Sus scrofa: one gene and its partners. The protein of the gene in region 2 purifies or fractionates together with the protein of the main gene of each other region. This does not show direct contact. Links are inferred from orthologs where the notes say so. Each region holds a gene or a part of one and is shown on either strand. Other genes may lie near its edges.

The links.
Region 1: the proteins of GRWD1 (region 2) and CUL4A purify together in Homo sapiens (affinity purification with western blotting; 4 studies listed by BioGRID, with this or other methods). This does not show direct contact. The link is inferred for Sus scrofa from reciprocal best matches to the Homo sapiens genes GRWD1 and CUL4A.
Region 3: the proteins of GRWD1 (region 2) and WDR5 purify together in Homo sapiens (affinity purification with western blotting; 3 studies listed by BioGRID and IntAct, with this or other methods). This does not show direct contact. The link is inferred for Sus scrofa from reciprocal best matches to the Homo sapiens genes GRWD1 and WDR5.

The regions. Positions count from the first base shown.
Region 1 is NC_010453.5:78,584,522-78,588,162, reverse strand, and holds part of CUL4A (cullin-4A), read right to left. Parts: coding exon 3,614-3,641; intron 1,427-3,613; coding exon 1,274-1,426; intron 418-1,273; coding exon 322-417; 3' UTR 1-321. UniProt on the Homo sapiens protein: Core component of multiple cullin-RING-based E3 ubiquitin-protein ligase complexes which mediate the ubiquitination of target proteins. As a scaffold protein may contribute to catalysis through positioning of the substrate and the ubiquitin-conjugating enzyme.
Region 2 is NC_010448.4:53,848,203-53,852,500, reverse strand, and holds the start of GRWD1 (glutamate-rich WD repeat-containing protein 1), read right to left. Parts: upstream 2,829-4,298; 5' UTR 2,642-2,828; coding exon 2,455-2,641; intron 2,170-2,454; coding exon 2,052-2,169; intron 1,866-2,051; coding exon 1,706-1,865; intron 1-1,705. UniProt on the Homo sapiens protein: Histone binding-protein that regulates chromatin dynamics and minichromosome maintenance (MCM) loading at replication origins, possibly by promoting chromatin openness.
Region 3 is NC_010443.5:273,573,532-273,577,061, forward strand, and holds the end of WDR5 (WD repeat-containing protein 5), read left to right. Parts: exon of another isoform or gene 1-25; coding exon 26-101; exon of another isoform or gene 102-772; coding exon 773-806; intron 807-975; coding exon 976-1,050; exon of another isoform or gene 1,051-1,443; coding exon 1,444-1,531; intron 1,532-2,635; coding exon 2,636-2,736; 3' UTR 2,737-3,024; downstream 3,025-3,530.

The DNA of each region.
Region 1 (3,641 bases), on a different chromosome or scaffold from region 2:
CATGCGGGGTCTGCCCCCCGCACATGCAGGCCACACACACACACGCCCAACGCTCGGCGCTGCCGCAAGAACACCACCTCACAGAGAAGCCGTCAGGGTCACTCCGCACTTAAAACGCCTAAAAGAGCAGGAGGAAGAACTGCAGGCAAGATGCACGCGCCCTATGCAAGCCCTTGAGCCTGCGAAGGGCGGTCCCGGAATCCCCCCTCCTTCCAGTCCCAAAGCAGCCGTGCTGTCCAGGCCCAGAAAGCCCTGGCAACAGCACCGAGTGTCTCTGCCCTGAAGATACATTCTCGCGTCGCACGGCGGCGCCGCCGGGCCTCAGGCCACGTAGTGGTACTGGTTCGGACTGTCCTTGTCCCGCTCCATGTAGTCTCTGTCGATGAGGGACTCGATCCTCTTCTTCAAATCTCCGGGCTGGAAAAGAAAAACACACCCCTGATGAGAGCGGCCACGCCAAGGGGGCGAGCGTGGGCGTGGGACGGCGGCACCCCCAAACACGCATCTCCCGGGATGCGAGCGCGCCAATGTCCTGTGGTGGGCAAAGGGCTTCCTTCCGCGGGCGGGTGACGCGGCTCAGAGGTGAACGCCCTGAGGTCACCCGCAGAGCCTGGCCCTCACTCGTGTCTGGAGGGGACTCAGGCCCTTGGGCGTGTCCACCTCTGTGGACAGTTCTCCCCAGTTGCTGTATTTGTCACCTGTCTTTGCTGCACACGCTCTGGGCACAGAGACACCAGACCCGTGTGCTCCTTCTCCAGACAGGCAAGGGAGTCCACGCGCCCAGCACGGGTGTGGGGGGCCTGGCTGCTGCCTCTCAGGGCGCAGGCTCCCCTCAGCGCCCCCCTCGTCCACGCTGAGCAGGGCTGCAGCCCCAAGCCGGTCCTCGCGGCTTCCCCTCCCCAGCCCTCCGCCCAGGAGCACAGAGCACCGCCCAGCGTCCTCCCCGAGCCACGTGGATGGGACAACTCCGGGTCGTAGAACTTCCCGCCCAGAAGCGCGGGTGGTGGGCTCGGTGGCCGGCTGATGGGCCAGTTCCCAGGGGGATGCTTGGCCCCCAGCTTGCCTGGCACCCCCCCGCCGGGCAGGACAGTGACCCCGGCGGGGACCTGCCCTGGCCAGCAGGCTCTGGGGCACCAGCAGCACGTCACAGCCAGGGGCGTCTGGGTGAGGCCCCGCTGGCCGCAGCAGACGCACACAGAAGCTTCCTGGGGCGAGTGGCGGGTGCTCTGCAGGTGTCTGGCAGACGCGCGAGCTGGCCACGCGCCGGCCTTACCTTGACCGGGAACTTCAGCTGGTTGTACAGCTCGGAGACCAGCAGGTTGTGGCCCAGCGTCTTGCGCATCTTCATGATCCTGACGATGGCGGCGTCGATCTGGTACTGCCGGTCCTGGAACACGCGCTCCGTGGTGCTCACCTGCTCCTCCACCTGCTCGGGACAAGGGTGCGCAGGCGTGCTCACCTGTGCTGGGGCGGCTGCGCCTCCGGGTAGGAGAGAGGCCCAACTGCGCACCAATCCCGCCCCGCTGTGCACTTGGTTTGTTCTAGTAAAACTGCTTAACTTCGGAGCCAAACCTTGACAAGCTTTTGCGCCTAAAAAGTTATAAACTGTATACGATCCTGGCTGAGGTCCCGTGGTGCCACAGAGAAAGGACAAAGCCCAGCAGCCATGGGACGGACCCCAGGCGCGTCGGCCTGGCTCAGTGTCAGGACACCCCGAGCCCTCGTGAAGCTCCCGGACAGGATCCCGGGGTCGCGCCACGACTGCTCATCCGGACAGACGGTCCGAAGGGAGGCGGAACAGAAGTCCGCACTCGCCTTGAAGCTCAGTGGGGAAGGTTTCAAAAGAAAGGCCTGGGACAGGCTGAAGAGCGGGTCCCAGAAGCACGTGCTGAGCCGCCTCCCGTCAGCAGCCCGACTGCTCACAGCCCCGGCCAGCGTCACACCAGCTCTAAAGGGGAGCAGTCGAGGACTAGAGAGATCTCCTCATCTGTACGAGCAGCTCAACGGCGCACAGATGCCCCCAGGACCCAAGGAAAGCCACACGAAAGTGGCCAGAAGTACTCTGGGCCTGTGACAGTGGGGTGGGCCGAGGTGGGCGGGGGCGGGACCCCGTGAGGCTTCCACTCAGTTGCGCTTCCACTCAGGAGACAAGCCGACCAGGGGCACAGGAGTGTCTGCGCAAAACAGTCGTCTTCCCGGAAACGGAAACACGCAGCTGCCTTTCAGCAAGGGTCCCGTCGAACTCTGCGGGTGAGCCCCGAGGATGCTCTGATCCGATCTGCCCGGTGGATTCTGCCACACCCTTAAAACCAAGCCCTGCCACGGAAGGAGGCCCAGGGCATCGCCTGACAAGGAGCGACACAGGGTGCAGGGAACGGTGCAGAGAGTGCACAGGAAGAGGGGTTTCGCACACACATCAGAGAAAAAGGCTGAGTGTGAACAGGTGGCAGGACAGACCAGCCCACCTCGGAACGCTAAGTCCAGAAGCTCACGCCCTTTGATCACTCTGGTAGCTATCGTAGGAAAGATGAAACAGGGGTTCCTGGCGTGGCTCAGTGGTTAACGAATCCGACTAGGAACCATGAGATTGTGGGTTCAATCCCTGGCCTTGCTCAGTGGTTAAGCATCCGGCGTTGCCGTGAGCTGTGGTGTAGGTCGCAGATGTGGCTTGGATCCTGCGTTGCTGAGACTGTGGCGTAGGCCAGCAGCTATAGCTCCAATTAGACCCCTAGCCTGGGAACCTGGGAACCTCCATATGCCGCAGGTGCGGCCCTGGAAAAAGACAAAAAGATTAAAAAAAAAAAGGAAAGACGGAACAAACGCCACAGGCATTAAACCTTCACAGACGTGTCAAATGACCCACTAGCAGCGCTGTACGCGTCCAACAGCTCTTAAAAAATAAACACATAAAGCTGCTTCCTCATGTCGCTGCCCACTTGGGATATTATCAAACTTTACGTTTCCCAAATTGATGGACCAGAAAGAGAACCTTCTCTTAACCTGACACGGGAAATGACTGCCTAGCGCAGGCATCCAGGTGCATTTGCTGCACTTACTGGCCTCCTGTGTTTCCTCCTGCGTAACCTGAGTGGACCGGCCCCCACCTCGGACCATCAGAGTCGCCGCCCTGCTGGGACCGACCCCCTGCTCCAAAGGCCATACCTCCTGTGCTGCAGGTCCCAGGGGCAGCTGACACCTGCTCTGAGGGGCTCCAGGGTGCGCCGGGCTCCGCCTCGGGAAGGGCCCCGGCAGCCGTCCAGAACCTGCTCCGAGCCGAACCCTGGAGTGTCTGATCGAAGCTCAGACGCTCCATCCATGCGGGTCACAGACTCGACACCCGTGGGCCGAGTGGCAGGACCCTCCCACGTCCACCCCAGGAGCCCGGCCGAGGCCAAGGGCTGGCTGCTCACAGAACCCCGGCGACGAGGCTCTGACGGATCGCACCGTTCGGTGACGTGCCCCTCCTTCGGATTCCCACTCCCACTGTGAGCCTGTCGGGAACCGACGTTCCTCTCCCAGGCACCGCGGCGCCGTCCGACCCAGGGAGAAGTGACTGCAGGCTACCGGTCTCGGGGCCCACGCGCCGCCTGGGTAAGAGGAGCAGGGTACGTACGGTCTCCTTCATCTGAATCTGATTGATC
Region 2 (4,298 bases):
CCGGGCTCCGAATCGCCCCCTGCAACCTACTTCTCTCCAGAGGTCCCCACCTCGGGCCTCAAACTGTAGGACTTGTTCTCCTTCCTCAGGCCCAGCACCCATGCCGGCTGCACTCCGCACGCACCATTTCCAAGCCCTTCGGCCGCCACCCATGCCACTATGGAAGTCACCCTCCCCTGCATTCTTCACAGTGCTGGCCGCCTCACCGGACCCTGGCCTCCTGCCCTTGCCCCCCCTACAGTCTATCCTAAATACAACAGTCAGAGGGATCCCTTTCAAACACAAGTCAGACCCCATCCATCCTCTGCTCTAAACCTCTGATGGCTCCCAATTTCCCTCCAAGTGAAAACCAAGTCCTTACAATGGCCTATGAGGCCCAAAACAATGTCTCTGCCACACCCACCTGCCAAACCTCATCACTCGCCCCCCTCATCCATTTAGCACTGCCCTCCCCAGCTTTCCTCAAAATTTCTCAAACATGCCATGGTCACCCCCAGGCCTTTGCACTTATTATTCCCTGGCTGGCAACCCTTCCCACAGACATCCTTGCCTCACTCCTTTATTCCCTGTGGGTCTCTGTTCACATGGTCTCTTATCAGTCAAATGACACCTTATCGGTGACTGCTTCCTTGACCAAACTTTTAGTTTGGGGTGGGGGGCAGGGTTTGAGCAGCAGCTTGATGTGGGACCTCAGTTCCCAGACTAGGAATTGAACCTGGGCTGCAGCAGTGAAAGCACCAGGTCCTAACCAGGAAGCTCCCTTGACTATTTAAAATAGCAGCCCCACAGCGGAAGATCCTAACTCCCTTATTTTCCTCCACAACACTCAGCACCTGGGGACACACGTGAATACACTTAGTTTCTTCTTGTTCTCTTCCCACTGGCATGTGTCAAGGAGCCAGCGACCTTTTGCTCCCTGTTAAAACCCCAGGCTCTAGAACAGCACCTGAAGCTCAGTAATACTTTAATGGAAATGTTTAGCAAGGACTATGGGCCAAGCACTGCGCATGCAACACTTTACTGCTCATGTCAACCCCGTCAGAAGGGGCTGTTAATTCTGAAGCACAAAAGTAACCGCATAGGCCAGAACAGTCCCTAAGCAATAACAGAAAACAAACATCTCATATGATAGCACTGTTTTTAGATACCTAAAGTAACTCTATTTCAGTTCTTTTGTTTGTTTTTTGCTTTTTTTTTAGGACCAGGCTTGCTGCATATGGAAGTTCCCAGGCTATGGGTGGAATCAGAGCTGCAGCTGCCGGCCTACACCACACCCACTGCAACTGGGGATCCAAGCCGTGTCTGCGACCTACATCACAACTCATGGCAACCCGGATCCTTAACCCACTGAGTGAGGCCGGGGGTCGAACCCACAGCCTCAGGGATGCTAGTTGGGTTACCGATGAGTCACAGCAGGAACTTGGGAGTTTCAATGCTTGAAGTAACACAAAGTGATCCCATTTTACCCTCATATCAGTCACACCAGGTAAGTTTTCTAACTCTCACCATTTTACAGAAAAGGAAAGAACACTAAAGATATCCCCACAGCATCTAGCACGATGACAACTACCATGACAGTTAAGATGTGATAAACTCATATACGAAATTGTGTCAAGTGTTTTCTAAAAGCTGAAGGGCGTGGATGGGGGGCGGGGACGCTCTGTGCTCCAGAGAATGGAGGGCAGGCTTCGGGGGCTGTATTTACCCGAACTCTGTTGATGCCACCATAGTGCGGCACCATAGCCAACTCTAGCTGAGGCTTTCGCTCTTCTTCATCCTCTTCATCCTCCTCCTCCTCTTCATCACTGCCCTCTGATGGCGGGGGCTTTGTCCCATGCAAATTGTGCATTCGAAGCATCATCAATCTGGCGGAAGTGTGGGATGAAATGAGGCCCTGGATACCAGGATCCTTGGGAAGAAGGGAGTGGGGAGGCTGGAAACCCCCCTATTTCTAGGTGCGGGGGCCGCGGGGGGGGCCGCGGGGGGGGGAGCCGCGGGGGCGGGGGGCTGAAGGCTCAGACTCCTGGTCGAAGTAAAGGCCCAGTTCTCACCTGTTGCTTTGGGCGCTCTCTGCCTGGGTTCCAGCACACAGGTAAAGTGTAAGAGGAAGCTCAGTCCGGTTGTCTCCCAGGTGATCCCGGACTATGTCGAAGCTGAGGCAGGGGGCGCCTGGGGATGGAAGGAGCGGTTGGAAAATTAGGATGGGACATAAGTATCTCAGGCCCTAATAGCCAGAGGTATCTCTTGAGTGTGGTGTCAATTCTCTTAGACCCCAGTTTCCTCTTTCAGAGCGCCTCTTAAGTTAAAGGCTCAGGACCGGCTCCCCTCGGGAACCCCAGTTTCCCCTTTCAGAGCGCCTCTTAAATTAAAGGCTCAGGACCAGCTCCCCTCAGGACCCAGATTTCCAGTCCCTCCTTGCTCTGGCCCCGGGAAGTCCGAATGCCCCAGCCCTACCAGTCTGTGCTCGGTGGTACAGCACGTAGGCCTCCTCGTCCATGACCAGCTCCTCTCCCTCACGCAGTGGCGGTCCCCGGCCCGGTAGGTAGACCTGGGGAGGGCCCTCGGACCCTGCATCGTGGGACTCAGCCTCCATGGGCTCCCCAGTTTCACACGTGCGCCGCCGCCCCTTGCGCGCTGCCATCTTCCAACCCGTTCGCAGCCGGCGCGAGGTAAGAGCGTCACTTCCGGGTTGCGTTGCCTTCTTATGAGATCCGCCCTGCTGCGTGGTTACCTTGGAAACCCCCGGGTTCGCTGATTAGAGAGGGCGATGGGACCGGGTGAAGGAGAACTGACATAATCGTGTCCTGGTCCAGCTAGCGAGGCCTGCGGATCTGGAGAATTACCCCCTCCCGGTGACTTTGCGGAGTTCCTCCGCAGAGCCGCGGCAAGGCCTCCTGGGAGTTGTAGTTCTACGGGAGGCCTGTTTTTTCCTCATCAGCTAGAGGAGGTCCAAGCCCAGACACCATCTTCCACTTTTGACTCCCAAGGCATTCTTTCCACTTAATTAATTATTCGTGTATGCAAATAATCCTAGCTAGGAGACTAGGTTTCTGCTCCCTTAGGACCAATAAAGCCGGTTTCTTCTCCCCTCCTTATTCTTCCCCCGCTTCTTGTTATGAAGGCTTTAATTCATTTCCAAATGCTTAAGTAGAGTGAGGATGAGTTGCCTCATCAGGCGTTCACGTTGCAGCTGTGGTCAGCAAGCACTTAATCAGAAAGCCCACCCTCTGGAGGCAGCTATTACAAGTGTTTCGGCTCTTTTTATTGCCCATTAGCACCAGAGGTTTGGCTAATTGGCATAATGAAATGTTAGAACTAGGTTCTCATTGGTGAGCTTCACAACATTGAAGATTTGTGGATTGGCTGGGATATAATAGGCACTCTCCTCACTTGCCTGAACAGGATATTAAGAACCTAGCAAACCTCATTGCCTGTTGCCATAGGAATGGTACCCTCTAGGATGTTTTGAATCCCAGATCTTTCTTGAGTTCTCTGTCCCCCTTCTCTTAACGCCTCCACCCCTTCTTAGCTCGTCTCTTCTCATGGCTTCTTTCTGGGTCTTCACCTCCCGCCTCCCTCTGGGGTCTCTGTTCTTGCTCAAATTCTCTTTCTGCACCCTCTTCCTCTGAGGGACTTTTCTCAGTTTCTGTTTCCTCCGGAGAAGTTTGAGGGGACTGAGACAGGCATGGATCTCACACTTGGCTTGAGGAGGCATAAAAACATGGTTTATTCCAAACACTGCAATGTGGGACAGGAGAGTGGCCAGGGAGGTTGGTAGTGAGTGTGAACTCCCAGATCCCTCCCTTCCACAACCCATTTCCAGACCCGGCTGGAGATCTGGGAAGAGGAGGCTTTTGGGGGGCTGCTGGGTGATTACTGAAGGGGCACAAATAAAGGTTGGACTTGGAGAGTATATGGTTGGTGGCACCTGGGCCTGGTAGTGAGGTGCGAAAGGGTGGGAGGTTTTGGCCTGATGGAGGTTGGGATCAACGCTGGGGCAGGGGAGGCGGGGCTTCCGTTGGGGGTGTGTCCTAGGGCAAAAGAGGGAAAAGCTACCGAGGTTGGTTGGAAAAGGGTGGGGTGGGGAGGGTGTCACGGTTAGACGTCGAGGGGCACAGTCTGGTCGGGGCACAGTCTGGGGGTGGAGTCACAGTTTGGGGTCAGGGGTCACAGTCTGGGGTCGGATGACCATTTTTAGGGGTCGGAAGTCACAGTCTGGGGTCAGGGGTTTCTGTGTGGCGGGGCCAAGGTCTGGGGTCACAGTTTGGCGAACGCGTCTCACAGTTTTGAGTCCCGAT
Region 3 (3,530 bases), on a different chromosome or scaffold from region 2:
GCAGCTGTCTCTGTGCTCCATGCAGATGACGACAACCCGCCCGTGTCCTTCGTGAAGTTCTCTCCGAACGGCAAGTACATCCTGGCCGCGACCTTGGACAAGTAAGCCCTCTGTCCCCGTGCGGGCGGGTTACCAGGGCCATCGCCCCAGGGCCAGGATCCCAGAAAGACACCCGCTCCAGTGCCCGCACGGAGCCTGCTGGGTGCAGGCTGCTGATGTAGGCACCCTGCTGGGATGGTGGGCATGGCGGCCTCCCGGTGCTGCCCGCTCTGCCCGGGCGCCCTGCTCCTAACACGCTTCGGGTGGGTGTCCCGGCCGTCCACTGCCCTCCTGGAGGCGGCTGGCGCTCGGCCTCCCCGGGCACTGTGGGAGCCCTCGGGTGGGCTCACAGGGTCGGCCCCCACAGGAGGAGGAAGGACTGTCCGCCGAGGTCTGTTCTGGACGTGTCCGCAATGGGGCTTCCTGAGCCCTTTTCTCGCAGGGACGTGGACCCCTTCCCGGCTCGGGGAACGCTTAGTAGCTTCCTTTAACCAAGCCTCTTGGGGAGTTAACGTGTGGCTCGACAGGTTAAGGACTTGGCACTGCAGTAGCTCAGGTTCGATCCCTGGCCCAGGAATTTGCACACGCCTCGGCCGAGGCCAAGTGAAAAACAGTGTCTTGGGGTTCCCGCGCTCTGCTCCCAGGTGTCCTTGCTCTGTGGACCCTGGGCTGGGCGCGGGCACCGGAGAGGGTGGGTCCTCGGGGGCTCGGCTGACACGCCCTCTCCCCGCAGCACGCTGAAGCTCTGGGACTACAGCAAAGGGAAGGTGAGCGCCGGGACGGGCTGGCGGAGGGTCGTGCTGGGGCTGGGGCCGGGGCCACGGCTGGGCCGGGGTGGGTTGTGCTCAGAGCGGCTCCGTTGGCTGAAAGGTACCTGGATGGGTTACCCCGGGGTGCAGGGGGGCGCCACTGAGCGGACGGGCCCTGCTGTTTCAGTGTCTGAAGACGTACACCGGCCACAAGAATGAGAAGTACTGCATATTCGCGAATTTCTCTGTCACTGGCGGGAAGGTGAGTCATGTCCCTGCTGGGGGTTCTCCCCGGCCCCTCTGGGGCGCTTTTTAACCCAGTGCAGCCCCGCTGGTGGCATCCTCAGCGGGCCTTCCCATTGCGTCCTCTTCAGGGCCACAGGCTCCTTTGCGATGCCGAGGGTGTCAGCACCTTCTGGGAGTCAGGGACCCTGGCAGGCTCTGGCGTCTGGTCCCCGGGGCTCCCCGCCTCTCAGGCTCAGGCTGCGGGGGAGATGGTGACGGCAGCCCTGATTGGAGCAAACAGTTTATGTCCTAGAAGTGGCGGGTGCTGGTGCGGCATCGGGACAGGAGATGGGCGGAGACCCACACGGGGAGGGGTGCTGGTACTGCTGGTCCCCAGGCACGCGCCTGACACCCTCCCGCCCCGTGACAGTGGATCGTGTCGGGCTCGGAGGACAACTTGGTTTACATCTGGAACCTGCAGACGAAAGAGATTGTGCAGAAGCTGCAGGGCCACACGGGTGAGCTCTCCCCCACGGAGGGACCAGGTCCTGTGAGCATCCTCCTGCCTCTGCTCCTCGGCCCCCTGGGAGCCGGGGGCTCTGTTTGGAGCTGTGGGTCTGAGCGCCCGCAGGCCGAGCCCGAGTGTGGCTTTAACCTCTCCTCCGGCCCTTGACGTCCTTGTGGGCCCTGTGGTCTGTCCCCGTGGAGATGGTACAGGGACCCGGGCTGCCTGCCGTCTGCTCTGCCGGCTGGCTCCTTTCCAGGCTCTGACCTCCTGCCCGCTCCTGTCCCCTGTGTGGAGTACCTGGGCAGCCCCTAAGCCCCCCCCCCCGCCCTCCCCACTCCTGCTCAGTGCAGAGTGGTGTCCAGCCGTGGAGAGTCTGATGAGAGTGTGCGACTCTGCCTAAGGAAGCCACGCCACTGCCTGAGGTCCTGGCCTGAGCTTGGAGGTCCGTGCTGGCCTTCAGCTTCCGCACCTGGCCTGTTGCTTCTGCCCTGCTGTGGGCAGGATGCTCAGGCTTATTTGAAACCACTCAGGCAAGAGGGAAGATTCTGGGGTTCAGTTGTCTTTTTAGGGCCGCACCTGCGGCATATGGCGTTCCCAGGGTAGGGGCTGAATCAGAGCTGCAGCTGCTGGCCTCCTCCACAGCCACAGCAATGCCAGGGATCAAACCTGCGCCCTCATGGATACCAGTCAAATTTCTTTCCGCTGAGCCATGATGGGAGCTCCCAAGGGGCTGAGTTAATTTCAGAGCTGCAAAGTGTTAACCTGACGGACCCCAGGCGCCAGCCCCGGGGGTGAACTTGCAGCGCAGCCCTGCGGGCGTCCTCTGCTCCGCGGCGGGGAGCGCGTGGGTGCGCCGGTTTGGGTCCCGGTGCAGAGGGCGCGATGTCGATGCCGTGAGACGGACCCCGGCTGTGCCTCTGGCTTGTGAGGGGCCCCAGTCTCTGGGCTCGGCGCTGGGCAGCCTCCGGGCCCAGGCCGGTGCTGAGCACCTCGCGGCCCACTGTCCAGGCCTGGTGACCTGAGCTCTGGGCTCGGACGCCCTGGGGCGGGGCAGGGCTGCGGGGCGGGGCCACGGGGCGGGGCCGCGGAGGGACCGTGGTGCCTCTGCTTTCAGACGTGGTCATCTCGACGGCCTGCCACCCCACAGAGAACATCATCGCCTCGGCCGCGCTGGAGAACGACAAGACCATCAAGCTCTGGAAGAGCGACTGCTAGGCCCGCGGGCGCGGGGCTGTCGGGACGCCCAGCCGGGCTGGCGAGAGCTCGGTGCTCGAGGGGCTCCCTGGTCCAGGCCTGGGGACTGGAGGCGCCTGGGCCTGCGCCGCCTCCGAGGACGGCTTGGCCGAGGGCCGTGTCCTCCGCAGAGGTTCTCGGAGCTGCCGGTGGCGATTCTTGCCAATGCCTGTCTTGTTGGCTGGGGAAGAGTTAGAGTCTGTATTGTGTTCGGAGGCCACAGAAATTTCTAATTTTTTATTACAAAAGGTGAAGTTCAATTTATCACGAGTTGTGTTTTTTTCCAGTAACTGTTCTGTGCATTTTATCACCCAGTGCAAGTGCTGGACCAGTCGCCACCACGGTGTGTGGGCGCCAGCCTCGCCCACCCGGCCTCAGAGGGGCCCCCTCGTGGGTCCAGTGACCTCTCTGGGGACCCCCACCCGGTGTTGGTCCTGCCCGCGCTCGAAAGCAGCGTGTCTGCAGCGTGTCTGCCCACGTGCCTTTGGCATCGGGGCCGTTGTCCCCGTGCTGCCAGCGTGGGGGTCACCCTGGGCGCTTCTGTTTGTCCCTCTGGTGGTCACACGCAGGCAGCGCCCCAGCGGTGATAAAGGTGGCAGCCTGGGCGAGTGGCCGCCGGGTTCTCACACAGAGCTTTGCTCGCTCTTTTGTGGAAAGCCTCGCGGTCGGCAGGAGGTTGAGAGGACGCCTCTCAAAAGACAGGTCCGAGGGATGCGCCACTCCTTGTCCACGCGGGCTCGAGGGCCCCTGCAGGCTGGTGGCCTGTGGATGTGGGG